Xenopus tropicalis: one gene and its partners. The protein of the gene in region 1 interacts with the protein of each later gene in a pairwise test. Links are inferred from orthologs where the notes say so. Each region holds a gene or a part of one and is shown in the gene's direction. Other genes may lie near its edges.

Region 1 (6,646 bases):
AACCATTTGTTATTTTAAATGCTTTAGAAGAAAATACCTGTAAAAAACTTGGCTTCCTGTCATTTGAACAAAGGCGATACAGCATGCCGGGAAAGTATCGGGAGATGCATCAACTATGCGGGGATCGATTGATCGAGCCTAGCCTGACTCCTTCCTACAGAAGTCAGGCTAGGCTCAATCAATCGATCGCCGATAGTTGATGCATCTACTGATACTTTTCCGGCATCGCCATATCGCCTTTGTTCAAATGACAGGAAGCCAAGTTTTTTTACAGGTATTTTCTTTCTACTAAAGCATTCAAAATAACAAATGGTTTTCAGGATAGGGAAATTATTGGGGGAGGGTAGAATAGATTTTTTAGTTAAAAATTTATTAATAATAATTTTCCTTTAAAGCAGTGTTTCTTTATACTTCTGTTCTCTGGGTCTGACTTTTACTACGAAGCTCACATTAGCACATTGATGTGGTACCAACAGCCTGCATAACCCTTTTATGATCCAGGAGCCAGACAATCAGATCAGTACACTTTGACTGTGCGCACTGTCGGCTAAATTAGGCAAACATTTGTTTGGCAACCTCACCATCAAGCGGATCTCAACATGAATGGCCCGCTTAACAAGAGTCAGAACAACTTCACATCTTTTAATGAGTTGTTAGCTGGATTGCAAGATTGTTTCACGTGTGTGTAGAGAATACAAACAGATAAATACTAGTTTAGAAATAACAACTTAGATTGTAAGCACTAGGGGCAGGGACCTCCTTTCTACTGTGTCTCACACCACATGACACAATCTCTGTGTATTTATACTTATTTATTGTATTTATTATAACACTTGTCCTCCCTGTGTGTATCTGAGTTTATTGTAGGATTGTACAGCACTGCGGTTCTGCCATGGATGATCCCTGTTTCTCAGTGAGAAGGCCACTGTATTCTTCACGATTTATATGATATCTGCTGTGTAAACTTTTGCTTTTTTTCCCTATTCAGCTTGAAAGGTTAGCCCCATGGATACACAGCAACTTATTTATATCAACTGTAGTTATGAAGCAAAAACACACCTTTTTATTAGTGCAGAGTAAAGGCCCCCATACACGGGCCGACTATAGCTGCCGATATCAGTCCCTTGGACCGATTCGGCAGCTAATCGGCCCGTGTATGGGCAGAACAGAGCGGCCTGGCAGACCAATATCTGGCCTGAAATTGTCCAGATCTCGATCGGCCAGGTTAGAAAATCCAGTCGGATCGGGGACCGCATCAGCTCGTTGATGCGGTCACCGATCCCACTGCCCCATAACCTCAAATGTAATCCGATCGTTTGGCCCCAGGGCCAAACGATCGGATTATTTTTTTTTTAAGTCCCTTGCTACCCGATATCGCCCACCCGTAGGTGGGGATATCGGGTGAAGATCCGCTCGCTTGGCGACATCGCCATCACCCAAAAGCTTTTTCGCTGTGCATGCACTGGCCAGGGGCAACAGAAGCAAGAAGGTACGGATTAAATAATTGTGACATGATGCTCATACAGAAGTACCCCAGGCTGCTGCAATCTTCTGCCATCACCAGTACTGGCCCTGGGTATCAGGTAACATATGGAGCCACCAGTGACTCTAACTTTTTTTTTTGTTTTAAAAAGGAGCCACACCCAAAAAAAGTTAAATAAAAATTAATGAAAGAAACAGCACCTTACTAATACACATTGAATATTTTCATTGGTTTTAAAGTTATTTGTAAATGTAATGCTCAATTCAAGCTGTCTGGCTGTACTGACTCCCGAAACAAGAGAAAAGATAGGGCTAAAACAAATCCTGCTTCAATTGCACTTACACTTACAATTAACTTTAAAACAACTGCAAAACTGTTGTCAATTGTACATTGGGACGTCTCTCAGAATGACACTTTCATTACAAATTGTTTTGGTTGAAAAATGATTTATTATAGAATACACATATTCGGCTACTACAGGCAAGATGCTGCCAGGCATGCTGCACTTACACAGCCCGCTAAGGCTCAGCACCATAGGGACCTCCATGCAACGCTAGCCACCCGTCCTCCAATTGCTTGAGCTATAATTTTACATTACAAGAACAACCCTTGAGCATATAGAGCGCTGCCCAGGGCTCTAATGTGCAACCTACAGGTATTTAGCGGAGGTTCTCCCACTGATACCCAGGGACCCCAAACAAAACACACAACCGAAGCTACGGAGCGCAGCTGGAACTAAACAATCCCACCGGCTGAAGATACTACACCCTAAATAACATCGGCTTTTCAGCAAAACTCACCATAGTGTTTCCTTCTCAGCCACATCACACTTCCTGCAGAAAACGTCACCTCCGCTCGTCACTGATTGGACGATCGGCCGCCCTTCATTCTTCCCGCTAGCTCCGAACTACGTTATGTCACTGATTCTGGATTTCTGTCTGTTGCTAGGGCAGGTGATGTCACTGAGCTACTTTCGCTTCCTATTGGGCAGTTTTATTTTGCAGCTTTTGTAGGAACACGGAAGTTGCGAGGGAATTCCTTTCGTTACAGAGGTAGGAAGCAATGGTGGGCATGACTATCGTAATACTTATTAAAATTAGAATAAAAGCAGTGGCGTATGCACTTATAGTGAAAAATAATAGAGATTTATTAGTGTGGCACACGGCAGTTTCTACTTGGGTGAGCAGCAGTGTGCCATGAACCCTGCAGGTGTTCAAATCAACCAGCTTTCCTTTCTGTGTATGAATTCATTCCCAGAATTCCTTTTGTTTGCTTTCTGTCTATCGGAAATATTATTTTTAATTTAATTATTTTTTACCTCTAGTTTTAATTCCGACCAACTGCATAGAAGCAGCCGTCTCCTGACCATCAGCCAGTTCTCATGACCTATTTTTATGATATGCAGCTTGCTAAAATGCATTCATTAAAAACTGTCAATATGTTTAAAGTCATTTGTAATTAAAAGCTGTGTTTGTTCTTTTCTGCCATGCCTTTTCACTGGTCTTTCATTCAGCTGGATTCTGCAACATTGTTTCAGGAGTCCAACCAGTAGTACAGAGAATAGTAAGGGACAATCACATTGTCAGTAGCATTTACATTTACAAATAACTTTAAACCCATTTTTCTTAAAGGGGAACAACGCCTTCCAAACCAATTTGTTAAAGAGCCCCAAACAAGACAGAAACCCCTGTAATCTGTTCCTTCGAAAATTATTAATAAATACAATTTTTAACTGCTGAAATTCAGCTGCAAAACAGTTTTTATCTTTACATCATTTGAAATCCTGGCAGGGGAGGAGGGACTAAAGCACTGATGTTACAAATTGCATTGCACTGTGAAGTTGCTTTTCTTATTGACATCACATGTGCATGGGATTGTGGGATTTCGAGAGTGCAGGCTGAAGGCAGGCTTTGGACAGTCGACTACTGTTACATTTTTCTCAAAGTAGTCAGCCAGGAGAACAGGGGGCGAGGCTTAGGTAACTGTTACAAACAATAGTATTACATTAAAATGTAAAAAAACATTTTTTATTATTTCTGGGTTTCACCCCTTTTAACTTTTAGCATGTTTAATGCCATCTTGCTGTTTAAATATAGTGGGCCAGTAATTCCCTATACCACATATTTCTGGGCCAGGTTATAATGATGATGGGGGTCAGTGGAAGTTTTTAGTAACATAGGGGCCATAAAGATCTCTTGGAGAGCCACATCTGGCCTGTGGGGTTCTAGTTGGACAGCCCAGCCTTTGACAGTGATACTCTGACAAGGGGTAAAAAAAACATCTTATAAAAAACTGTAGACTGTTGTGGATGCTTAATACTTTTACAAATGTATCCAGTGTAATATTGGTATGGACAGTACCAGTGAATGAGTTTAGAAGAGTTGTTAAGGGAAAACACAACAGAAATGTGTCTTCTTTAAACAAAGTAACATACAAAGTAATATATAAATAAAACGAGGGCTGTGGAGTCGGTAGATAAATTCTCCGACTCCGACTCCTCAGTTTCTGATACTTCCGACTCCGACTCTGTTTTTAATATGCTAATGTATTTTATACATTCATACAGTCAATGAAAAGCATGCTTCATGGTCACTCAACGTGTTTGTTTATGCACTGCGTGCATTGGGCTTTATTCTTATAGCAGAGAAGTAATTAATTATGACTGTTTGTGAACTGGGACATTTAAACTTGCTTTATTTTTTTTTTTATTCCCATTTAAATTTAGTAGGAGTCGGTTCTTTTTTTGCCGACTCCGACTCCAGGTACCCAAAATTGCCTCCGACTCCACAGCCCTGAAATAAACGAAATATTTGTTTTACATTATACCAGTTTGTATATATTGCCAGGATTTATAGCATAAATAATAAAAACTAGCCAGCCTACCTAAAAAATTAAAATAACTGGTTGAACGTATCAATAAATAAATGTCTCAAATCCTTATAATAATTATTGTAACAACTGTAAACAAATCAATAATGCCATTTTTTTAAGTACTGTAATGTGTTGCAAATTGGGACTACTGTTGCAACCAACCACCACCAACAACTAATCAGACTAGCTAGGTTACTGCTTAAAGGAGAAGGAAAGTCATTTTGCCATTTTACTGCCAATAGGTTTAACACATTAGTGCCACCTGGAACAATATATTTATTCTGCAGAAAGCATTGCCAGACCTGAGTAAAGAGCCCTAGAAGATTTCTCTGTTTGCTTAAGACAGCAGCTACCATTTTAAATAGCTTCCTGTTTGCAGTCTAGCTGTTATAGCTCAGATCACACATTCCTAAGGGAGGGGGGAAGGAGTTATGAGCATTTTTATGGGAGGGGGGAGGAGGAGAGAACTGCATAGACTCTGGCCATGGGAATTAAGGATTTTTCTGAGAGAGGAAGTCGGACACCAGAACAACATGTTTACAAAAAAGGAGACCAGAAATTCTTTGTTTGATAGAGTGCAAGTGTTTCTGTGAGAGCTTATGGCTGTATTAACATGGACCTTTCTGATAAAGCTTACTTAGTTTTTACCTTTCCTTCCCCTTTAAAGGAACAGTAACACCAAAAAATGAAAGTGTTTTAAAGTAATTAAAATATAATTTACTGTGTGCACTGGCAACACTGGTGTGTTTGCTACAGAAACACTACTATAGTTTATATAAATAAGCTGATGTGTAGCCATGGGGGCAGCTATTGAAGCTGGAAAAATGGAGAAAAGGCACAGGTTACATAGATAACCGATAACAGATAAGACACCGCTGTATTTCACTGTTTATCTGTTAGCCACAATATAACCTGTGCTTTTTCTCCTTTTGAATAGCTGCCCCCATGGCTATACAGCAAGGTATTTATAAAAAAAAAACTCTATTAGTGTTTCAGAAACAAATATACAGCTTTTACCAGTGCAGGGTAGCAGTACATTATAGTTTAATTTTTTGATATAATTTCTTTTTTGGGTATTACTGTTCCTTTATTATATGTACCTAATAAGGAGTAGGGCTACTTTTTGACTTCAGCACAGCTTCAGTTCTTTATGGAATGCTATTATACAAACCCTGGTCTATGTTTAGATGTATGTGACTATTTTTCAAGAAAAAAAAGCACCTGTTTCTTAACATAGAAAGGCTTAACTTAACCCGCTTCCCACCATCCAGTTTGTCACAGTATTTTCAGTACCTTTGAAAAGCTGAACACCATTAATTTTGGTGGAGTATTAGGGCTCAGCAGAGCGGTGCTATTATCAAGTCAGGGATTGATAAATAAAGGCTGAAGGTTTTCCAGTCTGTGTTGGTGAGCTTGACCTGTGACCAGTGTTTCTATTTCTTGCTGATGCAGTTTGTGTGGATCTGCATATATTGATGATCCCTTTTGACATTAAATAATTTCCTTATTATTTGGACCAATACATCTGTATTTTAGGCACTGACTCTTTTGCCTCTTTTGAACTTTTAGTTGTCTTTGAAAACTCAAGTGCTTATAGTTCTTTTTATAGGTGATATATACTACTGGCAGGCAGCCAGGCTTGCTTTCCTTTTGCTTTTCCTTTTCCTGCAGAGGCTTGTTGTTTTTATTTTTGAGTTCTGTTTAAAAAAACATATCTACTAATTTCAATTCTTTAGAATATATATTATTAGAATATATATTGTTTTTGGGTACAATGTAATTATTTGTGCAGAAATTCTTAAACAGTATCTTTTTTGATTATTCAGTTTGGTAGCATAAGGACTAAACTCCATGGGAGATTTTGATCAGATTTTGTGGGTTAAATTTTATCTGATCTTGTCATGCAACAGTACGCGGCAGTGCACAACAGCACGAGATTTTGTAGGATCCTACAAATTCTGATCTCCACAGCTGTAATGTAATGTCGGATCAGATAAAGTTGAATGTTTTCTTATGTTTTTGACAATCAATGTATTTCAATGAGAAAAAAAAGTCTTGCTAAAGTTACATGTAGTTTACACATCAGATTTTTCAGTCCCATTATATTTTGACCCATGCAACTACATCTGACTTGTGAGATGCGTTTTGTCAATCTGACACCATCCGACAAAAGCGCTCATGGAGTTCAGCCCTAAGGATGTGTGTGGTGGAGTCCCTTTGCTCCTTGACCTGTTCAATTGGCATGTCAAGTTGAACCTTTAGATTATTTCATGAGCTTTGTGGCCAGATATA
Region 2 (6,071 bases), on another chromosome or scaffold:
AGTAGCCAACAGCCAAACACATTCCCAAGGGAGGGGCTGAGTGGGTTAGAGGAGGAGAAGGAATCACAAAGTGATAAAGGGGATGCTGCAGCCTTACTATTAACCTTTGACCAACAGGAGTGGCAGGTATTTAAAGATTTCAGAGAGGCTGTTAACTGATTTTTTGTGGGCGGATTTACATGCCCTTTAAGGCCCAAAAATGCGCACACAAGCTTTTTCAGGCTGAAATCCACTCCATATATATACAATGTCAGATGGGGTTCTTTGGTCACTGACTGCAGGCACAAGTAGTATCAGCATTGATGTTTTCCGTATTGATGTTTTCTCACCTAAAGACATTAGCCTTCCATCTTCCTTTGTGTATTAGCATCACCAAGTGTAAAACAGAGTTATCTGCTTTGTGGTCACTTGTTTCCTTCTTTTTAAATTACTTTCACTGTAGACCTTCTCTAGATGCATCAACATTCATAGACCCTGGGGCAGTTGGTTTTCACGCGTTCATTGTCCTATTAAAAAAAAAAGTACATTTTGTATTCTACATATCGGCAGGTATAAACCATTTATTTCTTGATCTTTTCCGTGCTTTTTATATTAACATGCAAATCTACATATTGAGACCAAAAAAGTTTGGTTATTTGAATTTTATTTCATGTTACATTCTTGGAATAGATCATTGTGTAATAAAGTAGAATACCTGCTGTTCCTAATTAAATGGCCGCTTCTCTCGGGAACAAATTAATTATTTCTAGCTATGGGAAATGTTACATAGTTACAGTTTTACAGCCTAATAATTGCACAAAAGAAACCCACTATGCAGTGTAAAAATGAATTGCCTTTAACTTTAGAGTCTGTATTGAGGAAGTGATTGATGTTCAAACTTTCAACTAATAGAGGAATTGACCTGCAGAGTTTGTTGTTATGGAAAACAAGCTCTTGTTGATTGTGATTGATGAAAACTCCTAGTACTTCCAGCTGATAGAACAATAGATTCAGAGATTGCATTCATGAAGGAACTCTTCACAGAGAGCTTACAGGTGATCAAACCCATTATGATTTCAGTATGTAATCTTTACCATTCCTGTAGCGTGGGAGTGAAATGTTCTGCTTATAAATGAACTAAGAGATAGCAGTTTCAGCAACAAGCTAGTAAAATACAATAGGGCTCATGTACGTCCACAAGTCCAGTTGCGGTCCAGGTAATTTCCCCGCAGTCAGCTGTGCGTAAAAAAAGGTACTTGCATTAAAATGTGCTCTCTCTATAGTTGCACTCAGCGGCGCTCAGTCTGTCCTGTTTTCCATTCTGAAATGGGTGTTGCTGCACCTATTAATGCATGGAAACCCTGAAGCTACTGCCACCTCCAAACCAAGTGATAGCTCCAGGGTTCCTGTAGCACCCTGCAATTATGCATCGCTGCAGTTAAGCTGAAATTTTGGGGAAAAATATATGTAAGATAAAATGTTGCCTTCTGATTTTTCTTTTTTGGTAAGTAAACCCAGGTGCTAACTGTGGGTAGTATTTAAGGCCTAGATAAAAAATATAAAGCAAAGCAGTTCCCTAGGTTAATGTTTCTTAAACTGTGAATTCTGATGGAATGCACTGATCATTGTACCTTCCAACACACTGGAGCACAGTCCTAAACAGATATATTTTGAGGTGGCCATACACAGGGCGATTTAAGATGCCAGTTTATCAGCCCATGTTTGGGGCCCTCAGACAGGTCTGTCTGACCGATATCTTGGTGAAAATTGGGCAGATGTCGATTGGGCAGGTTTAAAAATCTCATCAGGGTGAAGAGTGAGGCTTATTAATGTGGTCCTGGTTCCGATGGCCTGCATCATGTCAATGTGATCTGATCGGATCAATCCGATATTGCCCACTTCAAGGTTGGCATATAGGGTTGATAAAGTTGATCTTTCAGTATATGGCCAGGGTTAGATCCTATATAGATTAAAAGTAGTGTACAATACCAGCACAATAGAATTGTTTTTTGGGATTCTTTTTTTACCCTCCATCCTATTTATGTGTTGTTCATAATTACATATAACATATTTCAAACTTTTTTATATCATAGTTATATTTTTCTTTTTATTACGTGTAACTTTAATGTGAATGATTGTAGATTTAGGCTGCTGTAGTCCTTCCAGTGATGCAGATTGCTGTGATCAGTCTGGAAAAGCTGTCAAACAGTGACTATAACTGTACTGTATTTGGAAAGCCTAAAATTGTAAAGCAAAAGTTTATACCCTAGGAGACGTTTCTTCAGTTTCAATGGATTCTTTGTGCTTTTCATTTCGTTATGTGGAATGCAAAAAAATGACAGGTTTCAACTGCAAAAAAAGATGTCCCCCCTGCTGAAACACTTGCTGTTCTTTGATCTCCTTTTCTGTAATAACAAAAATGCAATTTTTCTTTTTTTGTAGGTGCATGTGAATCCCTGTTTTTATCAAGGTCCTGGTGGAAACACATTTATTCCTTTGGAAAAAGACAAATGGCATTGGTTACACTCTGGGGACTGTTTTTCTCTTTTGCCAGATAAATATACATTCAAAGTCATTGCTGACACTTCTACAGAGGAGAGTACTGAAAGGTAAAGTAACATATTTCAAGTGATATATAAATATATATATATATATGTTGCTATTTTTTATACATAGATTCCTAGCAGAGGAAGGATCATATGAATGAAGATCTGCTGCAAAGGGAGGGGTTGTGGGGTAGGGTATGTAAACAGTACAGAAAGGGGTATGCACCCCCTTGTTCACCTTGAGTTCAATGAATAGTTTTTATGCTGAACATACTTTTTGCCTATTGTTATAATCACAAAAAATCTGTTTTTTTGTTATTTCTTGAGCTAAACAGGGAAATTAAAGCTACTCTGTGTTTGGCCCTTGAGTGGTAATAATTAGAATACCAGTACACAGGTAATCCCCTAGCTAACAAAACAGTCACAGCAAAGAGGGAAGCTAGGGATAGTATTCTGGTAATTTAAACTACCTCACAAGGACCAAACATGCAGTAGCTTCAATTTCCCTCAAGAAAACAAAAACCATAGATTTGCTAGAAATAGGGCATTCTATAACATACTAAAAGTTTATTAAAATGTGAACCACCCCTTTAAAAAATAAGTATGCTTTAACTGTGACTTGTACAGGTATGGGACCTGTTATCTGGAAAGCCGTTATCCAGAAAGTTCAGAATTACGGAAAGGCCATCTCCTATTATAAAAAAATAATTTTGCTTTTTAAAAATGATTTCCTTTTTCTTTGTAATAATAAAACAGAACATTGTACTTGACCCCAACTAAAATATCATTAATCCCTACTGGGGCAAAACAATCCTATTGGGTTTAATAATATTTAAATGATTTTGGACTTAAAGTTTGGCGATCCAAATTACGGAAAGACCCCTAATCCGGAAAACCCCAGGTCCCGAGCATTCTGGATAATGGGTCCCATACCTGTACTGGTAATAAGTAATAGGCGTCTGTCTGTGTATGTATTTCAGTAGCTGTCTGGCTACTAGGGATTTACCCTAGCAAACCAGGCAGTGGTTTGAATGAGAGGTCGGAAAATGAGTAGAAGAAGGCCTGAATAAAAATATAAACAAAAAAAGTTACAATAACAATAAAATTGTAGCTTAACAACAGGGTAATAGTTTTTAGCTGCTGGGGTCAATTACACCCATTTGAAAGCTAGAAAGAGGCAGATGAGGAAGGCAAATATTTCAAAAACTATAATAAATAGTAATAACACATTGCAAAGTTGCTAGGAATAGGGAATTCTATAATACACTAGAAGGTAACTCAAACGTGAACCACCCCTTTATGGAATAAGTACACATTTTTATTTTAGAATGCCTAAAATGACTCTAAACAGCCTCTAAAATGACACACCTCCCTACTTAGAGTCCGATGTCCGATCTAGTGGGAAGTTCCGACAGCTCCTTGACCTATTCAAAGTAGAAGGAAGGCTCAGCATACTAAAGGGGAACAGAGATTCACCCTATAAAAGGAAAGTGACTGATTTCTGCAGCATGTTTCAGTTTCTATCTTAGAAACTCAATGTAGGGAGAGACTTTCGGGGTCATTTAGAGTTTTTTAGGGATTTTAAAAGGTTTACTTTTTCTTTAATGATCTAAGGGCTGTTCAGATATATTTTGAAATGTAGTTATATTTATTTAATATTTTGAATGAATACAGAACCCTATAAACCTGTGAACTGTTGGTTCAGCCAGTTTTGCTGATATTAGCCATTGTTATTCTTGTTTAGTTGGGGCTTAATTTTTTGCATTTCAAAAAACAAAAGTTAATCAAAAAACTTTTTCACGTGTGAAAGTCAAACTGACTTCTAACTGTATAACTTTAATGTTAAAAACCAACATCACATTTAAAAAAAAGTTTTTTTTACAATAATTAAATAGCCCCTTATTACCTTGATTTTATGGGAATATATAATTCCAGCTTGCTACCATGATAGTATACTTTTATCATTTTAGAAAATTTTGGTTGAAAGTGCGTGATTCAGTGCACTTCGTCTTAAATTATTTTTCCAGAACACCAGGCTTGTCGATTGATGATGTGTCTGCTTTGGCGTTACTGTTGTCTAAACTAACGTGCTATTACTTTTGGGTCATGAGTTTCAAGGCTGTTGTGACAGAGCTAATTTGGCTTGACAGCACTCTGATGGCAGGTGATGGTTCTGTCAATGTCTTTTAAATTTGCTTTTGCTGTTCACAAATGAGTCATGAATTATAGTCTCAACCTTCACCTGCAGCCTGATTGTTATTTGTCTTTCTACTAAAGCTATATTTTTCCAGGCCCCACAAGGATGGCTGTAAGCAAGTTGCTGGATAATAATTGGTGTTCATAGAAATGCATGATTTTTTTTTTAATATTTTTTCTAATAAATTGAACTACCTAATAGTCTTATAGGATAATTATGGTTTGAACATTCCCTGTTGCAGTGACCCTGGTGATAAGAGATGAATGGGAAACAGGATTTAAGAAAAATAGCTAATAGGAGAAGCACAGTTTTTCTAGATTTTACAAGGCTTTATAAAGGGCAGCAGAAAATAATATAATTCTGTTCTGTGGTTTTCACTGTTTTATAAACAAACCCTTCTATATCCATGTTGAGTAAAACTCATAGAAAGTAAAGAATCAACTCTGATTATTTAGGAGGCATTTGTGTAAAGCTCCTTTTGATTGCTTAAATAACTTATGTGACTTGATGGAATTAAAGTGGAAAAGTGCATTTTCTCCTTATGCCTGTGGCTGGAGTTAATGGACTAATGGCCGTATCCTTTCCCACTTAGATTACTGCAATCTCCTACTAGCCCTTGTAACTCTATCCTTGAATCCCTCCGTAGGGAATACTCACTCTCTTAAAGATAAAAGTCAGATGCTACCTTCTGGAGCACTAAAACATTATTTTGTCTAGTCCTGCGCTTAAGGGCAAATGCACATACCTGGTACAATTTGTCTCCTGTATGTTACCCAACCATTTAGATTGTAAGCTCTACGGGGCAGGGACCTCCTTCCTACTGTGTCTCATACCACATGGCACTTAACCTCTCCGTATTTATACTTATTTATTGTATTTATTGTATTTTATCTTTCTTCTATCCATGGAAATAAATCCTGGCATAAATTACACGTTATTTTAATTATTTATTATAATAATATATAGTAATATACATTATAATATTAATTTTATGTTATCATGCACGCACAACTAAATATGAATGTGTTTGTCAGGTGGCAAAACAGCCAATATACTGCACTCACATATCTTTTAAAAATGTACCGTAATAAAAACTTCCCTTCTTGTGAAGGCCTTCAAATGGCTCTGAAACATTAAATGAATAAGCAGGTAAAGGTAAAATTTTGATTTATTAAAGGATAATTAAACCTTAAATAAGCAATGTAAAACTACTTAGGGTGGTTTTCTAAGCACATTTGCAATTTATATTAATTATTTTTTCTGTTTTAGAGCTGTTTAAGTTTTTATTAACTGCCAATATAATGAATTTTGTAACAACAGCACCACTTTTTTTCCAATTTTCCATTACA
Region 3 (6,071 bases), about 87 Mb from region 1:
ACATTCCCCCTCCCTCCTCACCATCTAATTTTGTAACCAGTGCATGTACATGGGTATCGGGTCCCCCCATACTGGCACAGAAACAAGATTTTGGCAGGATGCACAGCTTGCTTTAATAACAGTGTCCACAAAATGGAGCTTGCCTGTTTTCTGCAATGGTGAATTCCAAGGCTGAAGGAAATAGGTTTCAAAAAATGTATATAGTGTAATTGAAGTTTATTTTGCTTGACAAACACAATAGAAAACAATTTGTAATTATTTCTTAGGGTGACAGGTCCCCTTTAAAAAGAGGGAGAGTATCATGCAAATCTATACCCCTTTTTAATATAGCTCAAAATCTTCCCCCTACCATTTAACCCTTCCGAATGCTAATTAGCATATATGAATTTATGCTAATTCGGTTCGGCCGGGACTGTGGATTCTGCCAAAACTGAATCCTTCAAAAAAAAAAAAAAAGGCTATATTCGGCCAGAATCCTGAACGGAATCCAGGATTCAGTGCATCCCTAGTCATTTGCAAACACTGATAAATTTCTTTCAATACCCACCCCAAGTTATTAATGAATAAATAAAAAAGGACCCAATACAGAACCCTGTGGAGAACCCTACTTCATTCAGAGAATGTACGATTTACAACCATCCCCTGTACACAATTCTTTATTTCTGCTAAAACAATTAAGCAAGAAATTCAGGGAATTTTGAGTCAAATTTAAAGATGTTGTTTACCTTTAAATTTTCTTTTAATATGACATAGACAATGATATTTTAAGACAGTTTGCAGTTGGTTTTTATTTTTTTTGTGGTTTTTCAGTTATTTTTTGTTCCTCGGCTCTCCAGTTTGGAATTTCAGCAGCTGTCTGGTTGCTAGAGCCTTGTTTACCTTAGCAACCAGGCAGTGGTTTGTGAGACTGGAGAGGGACTGAAGAGAAAGATAAGTAATACAAAGAAACAATAACAATAAAATGGTAACCTCAGAAATCAATACTGGTTTAGGGCTGTGTCACACGGGGAGACTAGTCGCCCTCGACTAATCTCCCCAAAATGCCATCCCTCCGGTCGGTGAAAATGTAAATTGCCGGTGGGATGGCATAAATGCCTTTAAGAAAAATTATAAATAGCATGCAAAGACAGTGTTACGGTAGATGTAAATAAGGTTTAATTTCTGGTGTCAGTATCTCTTTAAAGGTGAACCATGCCTTTAAGATCTCTGTTTTGTTCTCTTGCTACAGGTATCGGACCCCTTATCCGGAAACCCGTTATCCAGAAAGCTCCGAATTACGGAATGCCCGTCTCCCATAGACTCCATTTTAATCAAATAATTCAGAATTTTAAAACTGATTTCCTTTTTCTATGTAGAAATAAAACAGAACCTTGTAATTGATTCCAACTAAGATATAATTAATCCTTACTGGATGCAAAACAATCCTATTGGGTTTAATTCATGTTTTATTGATTTTTTTTAGTAGACTTAAGGCACAGAGATCCAAATTACGGAAAGACCCCTTATGCGGAATACCCTTGGTCCCGAGCATTCTGGATAATGGGTCCTATACCTGTACTATATGCTGGAACACGAGCTACAAATATATCAAATCTGCCCCTTTGACTCACCTTACCAAAATTAGTCTATGAAGATTTTCATTCATCCAGGTCATGGTATATCTAGTATAAATAAATTTAAAGCTACTGGACTTGTTTGGTAATCATTGAAGACGTTTCACTACTCATCCGAGCAGCTTCTTCAGTTCAACTGACTCGTATGGGAAGTCCTCAGCATATATACTCTTCCACTAATCCAATCACAATGGCACTTTGTAACTCTTCAGAAAGGTGACATCTGAAACTCACAGAGGTGTGAATGCTGTGGAGTTACTTTGAAAGGATTACCAAAGTATCATGCAACTCTTCAAAGCAGGTGTTACTTGTTAGAGTTGCATGAATGGATGTGTGAAGAGTTCTGAAACTGCCGGGGTACAGATGTTAGAACAGCATTGTATGTAGCAGACAGATGGTGTTGAAGTCCCCCGCCCAACAGGAACACCAAAAGGAATAACTGTCCTGAGGCAGAGAGAAGGCGCAATATAGTCATCCCATATGTAGCAGGAGTGTCGGAGAAACTCAGGAGAATTTTCAGCAAACACCACATCCCTGTGTTTTTCAAACCTAGCAACACACTGTACACCCAAAGGATCCAACACCAAAGCAAAAACAAAGCAATGTTGTATACGCAGTCCAGTGTAGCGAGGAGTGCACAGACCTTTACATTGGTGAAACAAAGCAACTGCTCTCCAAGCGAATGGCTCAGCATAGGAGGGTGAACACTACAGGCCAGGACACTGCTGTATTTCTACACCTAAAAGACAATGGACACTCCTTTGAAAATAGCAACGTCCAAATTTTGGACAAAGAAGACCGCTGGTTTGAAAGAGGTGTAAAAGAGGCCATTCATGTCAAAGTAGAGAAACCATCCCTAAACAGAGGCGGAGGACTTCGACACCATCTGTCTGCTACATACAATGCTGTTCTAACATCTGTACCCCGGCAGTTTCAGAACTCTTCACATATCCATTCATGCAACTCTAACAAGTAACACCTGCTTTGAAGAGTTGCGTGATACTTTGGTAATCCTTTCAAAGTAACTCCACAGCATTCACACCTCTGTGAGTTTCAGATGTCACCTTTCTGAAGAGTTACAATGTGCCATTGTGATTGGATTAGTGGAAGAGTATATATGCTGAGGACTTCCCATACCAGTCAGTTGAACTGAAGAAGCTGCTCGGATGAGTAGTGAAACGTCTTCAATGATTACCAAACAAGTCCAATCGCTTTAAATTTATTTATACTAGACTTACCAAAATGAGTTTACTTTGTCCAAAACTGCCACAGGTGTTATATGAAACTGTGTCCCCTTCCAAAAATTACAAAGAATAGTAGAAAGTCACCTTTCAACCAACATAAAGCAATCTAGTCTAGTTTGCCTTTTTAAAGAGGATTTTTGTCTCTGTCTGCAGTTTTATCATGCAAAAATAAAGTAAAAAGCATCCTTGTTAAAGCAAAACTTGTTTTCCTTTAATCTGCTGGCCAGCCAGTCTCAGATATAACTGTTTTTGTCTTGCCCTGTTTTAACAGGAACAATGATTGAATGTTGGCTGGTAAGTAAGGATGGAAAACATGGTCGAATAAGGCTGCCTCATGCAGAGACTGTGGTAATTGGCCGAGGGCCTGAGACACAGATAACTGACAAGAAGTGCTCTAGACATCAAGGTAATTCAGACTACACACATTAATTCAACTGGATTATACTAGCAGTATAACTGCATACCTGTTTTTTTTACATGCAAGGTATATTTCACTGTGTCTGTAAAATGTAACATAAAAAAAAACATTGAAAAAAGACAAACGTCCATCACGTTCAACCATAATGCCTATATATAACCTGCCTAACTGCTAGTTGATCTAGAGCAGTGCTGTCCAACTTCTGTGGTACCGAGGGCCGGAATTTTTCCAGCCTCCGTGGTGGAGGGCCAGTAATGGAAGCTAGTTTTGACCACTCCCCTTTTTAAAACCACACCCACTTGAAACCACACCCATGTTATCGCATGACCATACCCATATTAATGGTGGTAGTACAGCAAAAACCTGCCATACTCTGCCTTCCCTACCCTGCCTGTGTGTGCCATACTCTGCCTGCCCTACCCTGCCTGTGTGTGCCATACTCTGCCTGCCCTACCCTGCCTGTGTGTGCTATACTCTGCCTGTCCTATGCTGCCTGTGTGTATGGCACACACAGGCAGCATAGGGCAGGCAGAGTATGGCACACACAGGCAGCATACAGTGACACAATGCTGGCACTGCTCCTACAGTCTGCACAATAACTATATATTAAAAAACTTTTTAATTGCAGTGCCACCTCAGTTTATGTTCTTTTTATAGTGTGCAGGGTGTGTTTGTGGGTTTCTACTGCTCCTACAGTCTGTCTGAGGTGTGAACAGGTGAACAATGTGGGTGATTACAGCCTGAGCCTGAGGTGTGAACACTGCTGGGGGTGAACAATGTAGGGATTAAAAGGTGTGAACAACACAGGGGATTACATGATTAAACAATACAGGGGGATTACAGCCTGAATCTGAGTTGTGAACCATGCAGGGGGCCAGTACTGATACCATTTAAAGTCGCCTGTTGGACAGCACTGATCTAGAGGAAGGAAAAAAAAAACCCCATCTGAAGCTCTTATTTGCCGGAACAGGGGTTAGTTAGTGTGTTATAATTTTGTAAATGCATTGATGGTTTAAAACGAGACCTGTCACTGTAAGGAATAATTCCAGATTCTTTTCTATTGTGTATGTCTAGCAAAATAAACTTTACTGACACAAATTTCAATCTTCTTTCCTTCATTCTTTTAGAATCCAAGCATAGAGCATATAGGTGCCATTTTGAGTCAATCTTTGCATTATTCTAAAATAAGTTTTATGTACCAAAATGGGGTACCTGATGCCCATACCCATGCACAGGCTACACCTGTATAGACAGTGAGGGAGGGGAGAATTTGAGGAATTTAGTGACCTCTAGGAAGTGCTAAATAGAAAGTAAAAGTAAAAATAATTTTATTATACAGCTTTTATGTCTGGGTGACAGGTCTCTCTTAAGCGCGCCCACTTTGTGAAGGCTGACTTTTGCAACAATGGATCTCGGATGTGCTAATTCTCTGTGTTCATCAGAATTTTCAGCCATTGCTCAGTTTGTATCAGTATTTCTATTATTTACAGTGACAGAAGACAGTACCAAACTTACTTATTCACCTCTCACTGACCATTGGCTATTAATGATATTGTTGCTGTTTTTGGTAGTGTAACAAGAGAGTCACAGCCCTATATATATATATATATATATATACACAAAATACAGAGTGAAGAGCACACCAAAATTAAATAGCGATACCTGGGTGCCCGAGCAGCAAAATTGAAATACAAATAAAAAGTGTCAGCACTCACAGGATTCTCACGATAGTATTCATGGACGAAAAGTCCATGAATACGTCAGTAAAGACGTCAGTAAAGAACCGAAACGTTGGATCAATAAAACCTCACCTTATTGCATCTAACTACGACTTTTCGTCCATGAATACTATCGTGGGAATCCTGTGAGTGCCGACACTTTTTATTTGTATATATATATATACATATATATATATATATATACATATACATATATACACACAGTAAAGACCCTTAGCTGCTCAAATGGAGAGTAATATATAGCTTAGTCCAGTGCTGTCCAACTGGCTGCTTTGATGGTTTACCTTTGTGTAAACTTTAAATGGTATCAGTACTCAGATTAACTGGCCCCCTGCATGGTTCACACCTCAGATTCAGGCTGTAATCCCTCTGTATTGTTTAAATATGTAATCCCCTGTGTTTTTCACACCTTTCAGTTTCTGCATTGTTCACCCCCTGCAGTGTTCACACCTCAGGCTCAGGCTGTAATCACCCACATTGTTCACCTGTTCACACCTCAGACATTGTATGTAGTGCCTGGACTATGCTGCCTGTGTATATGGCACACACAGACAGCATAGGGTAGGCATAGTATGGCACATAGGCAGCATAGGGCAGGGAGGGTATGGAACACACAGGCAGCATAGGGCAGGCAGAGTATGGCACACACAGGCAGCATAGGGCAGGCATAGTATGGCACACACTGGCAGCATAGGGCAGGCAGAGTATGGCACACACAGGCAGCATAGGGCAGGGAGGGTATGGAACACACAGGCAGCATAGGGCAGGCAGAGTATGGCACACACAGGCAGCATAGGACAGGCAGAGTATGGCACACACAGGCAGCATAGGACAGGCAGAGTATTGCACACACAGGCAGCATAGGGCAGGGAGGGTATGGAACACACACAGGCAGCATAGGGTAGGCAGAGTATGGCACACACAGGCAGCATAGGGCAGGCAGAGTATGGCACACACAGGCAGCATAGGGTAGGCAGTGAGAGGTGAACCTGGCAGGGGTTTGTTCTGGGAGTTTGTTAGCAGTTGGAATTAGCCATTAAATGGTCCCTAAGGTGTG

The links. The genes of interacting proteins can lie anywhere in the genome.
Region 2: the proteins of xrcc4 (region 1) and aplf interact in binary tests that used the Homo sapiens proteins (3 or more experiments, as listed by UniProt). The link is inferred for Xenopus tropicalis from reciprocal best matches to the Homo sapiens genes XRCC4 and APLF.
Region 3: the proteins of xrcc4 (region 1) and aptx interact in binary tests that used the Homo sapiens proteins (3 or more experiments, as listed by UniProt). The link is inferred for Xenopus tropicalis from reciprocal best matches to the Homo sapiens genes XRCC4 and APTX.

What each region holds. Positions count from the first base shown.
Region 1 is NC_030677.2:181,249,480-181,256,125, reverse strand, and holds the start of xrcc4 (DNA repair protein XRCC4), read left to right. Parts: upstream 1-2,503; 5' UTR 2,504-2,535; intron 2,536-6,646.
Region 2 is NC_030681.2:30,357,666-30,363,736, reverse strand, and holds part of aplf (aprataxin and PNK-like factor), read left to right. Parts: intron 1-2,421; coding exon 2,422-2,588; intron 2,589-6,071. UniProt on the Homo sapiens protein: Histone chaperone involved in single-strand and double-strand DNA break repair.
Region 3 is NC_030677.2:94,456,412-94,462,482, forward strand, and holds part of aptx (aprataxin), read left to right. Parts: intron 1-3,128; 5' UTR 3,129-3,133; coding exon 3,134-3,263; intron 3,264-6,071. UniProt on the Homo sapiens protein: DNA-binding protein involved in single-strand DNA break repair, double-strand DNA break repair and base excision repair.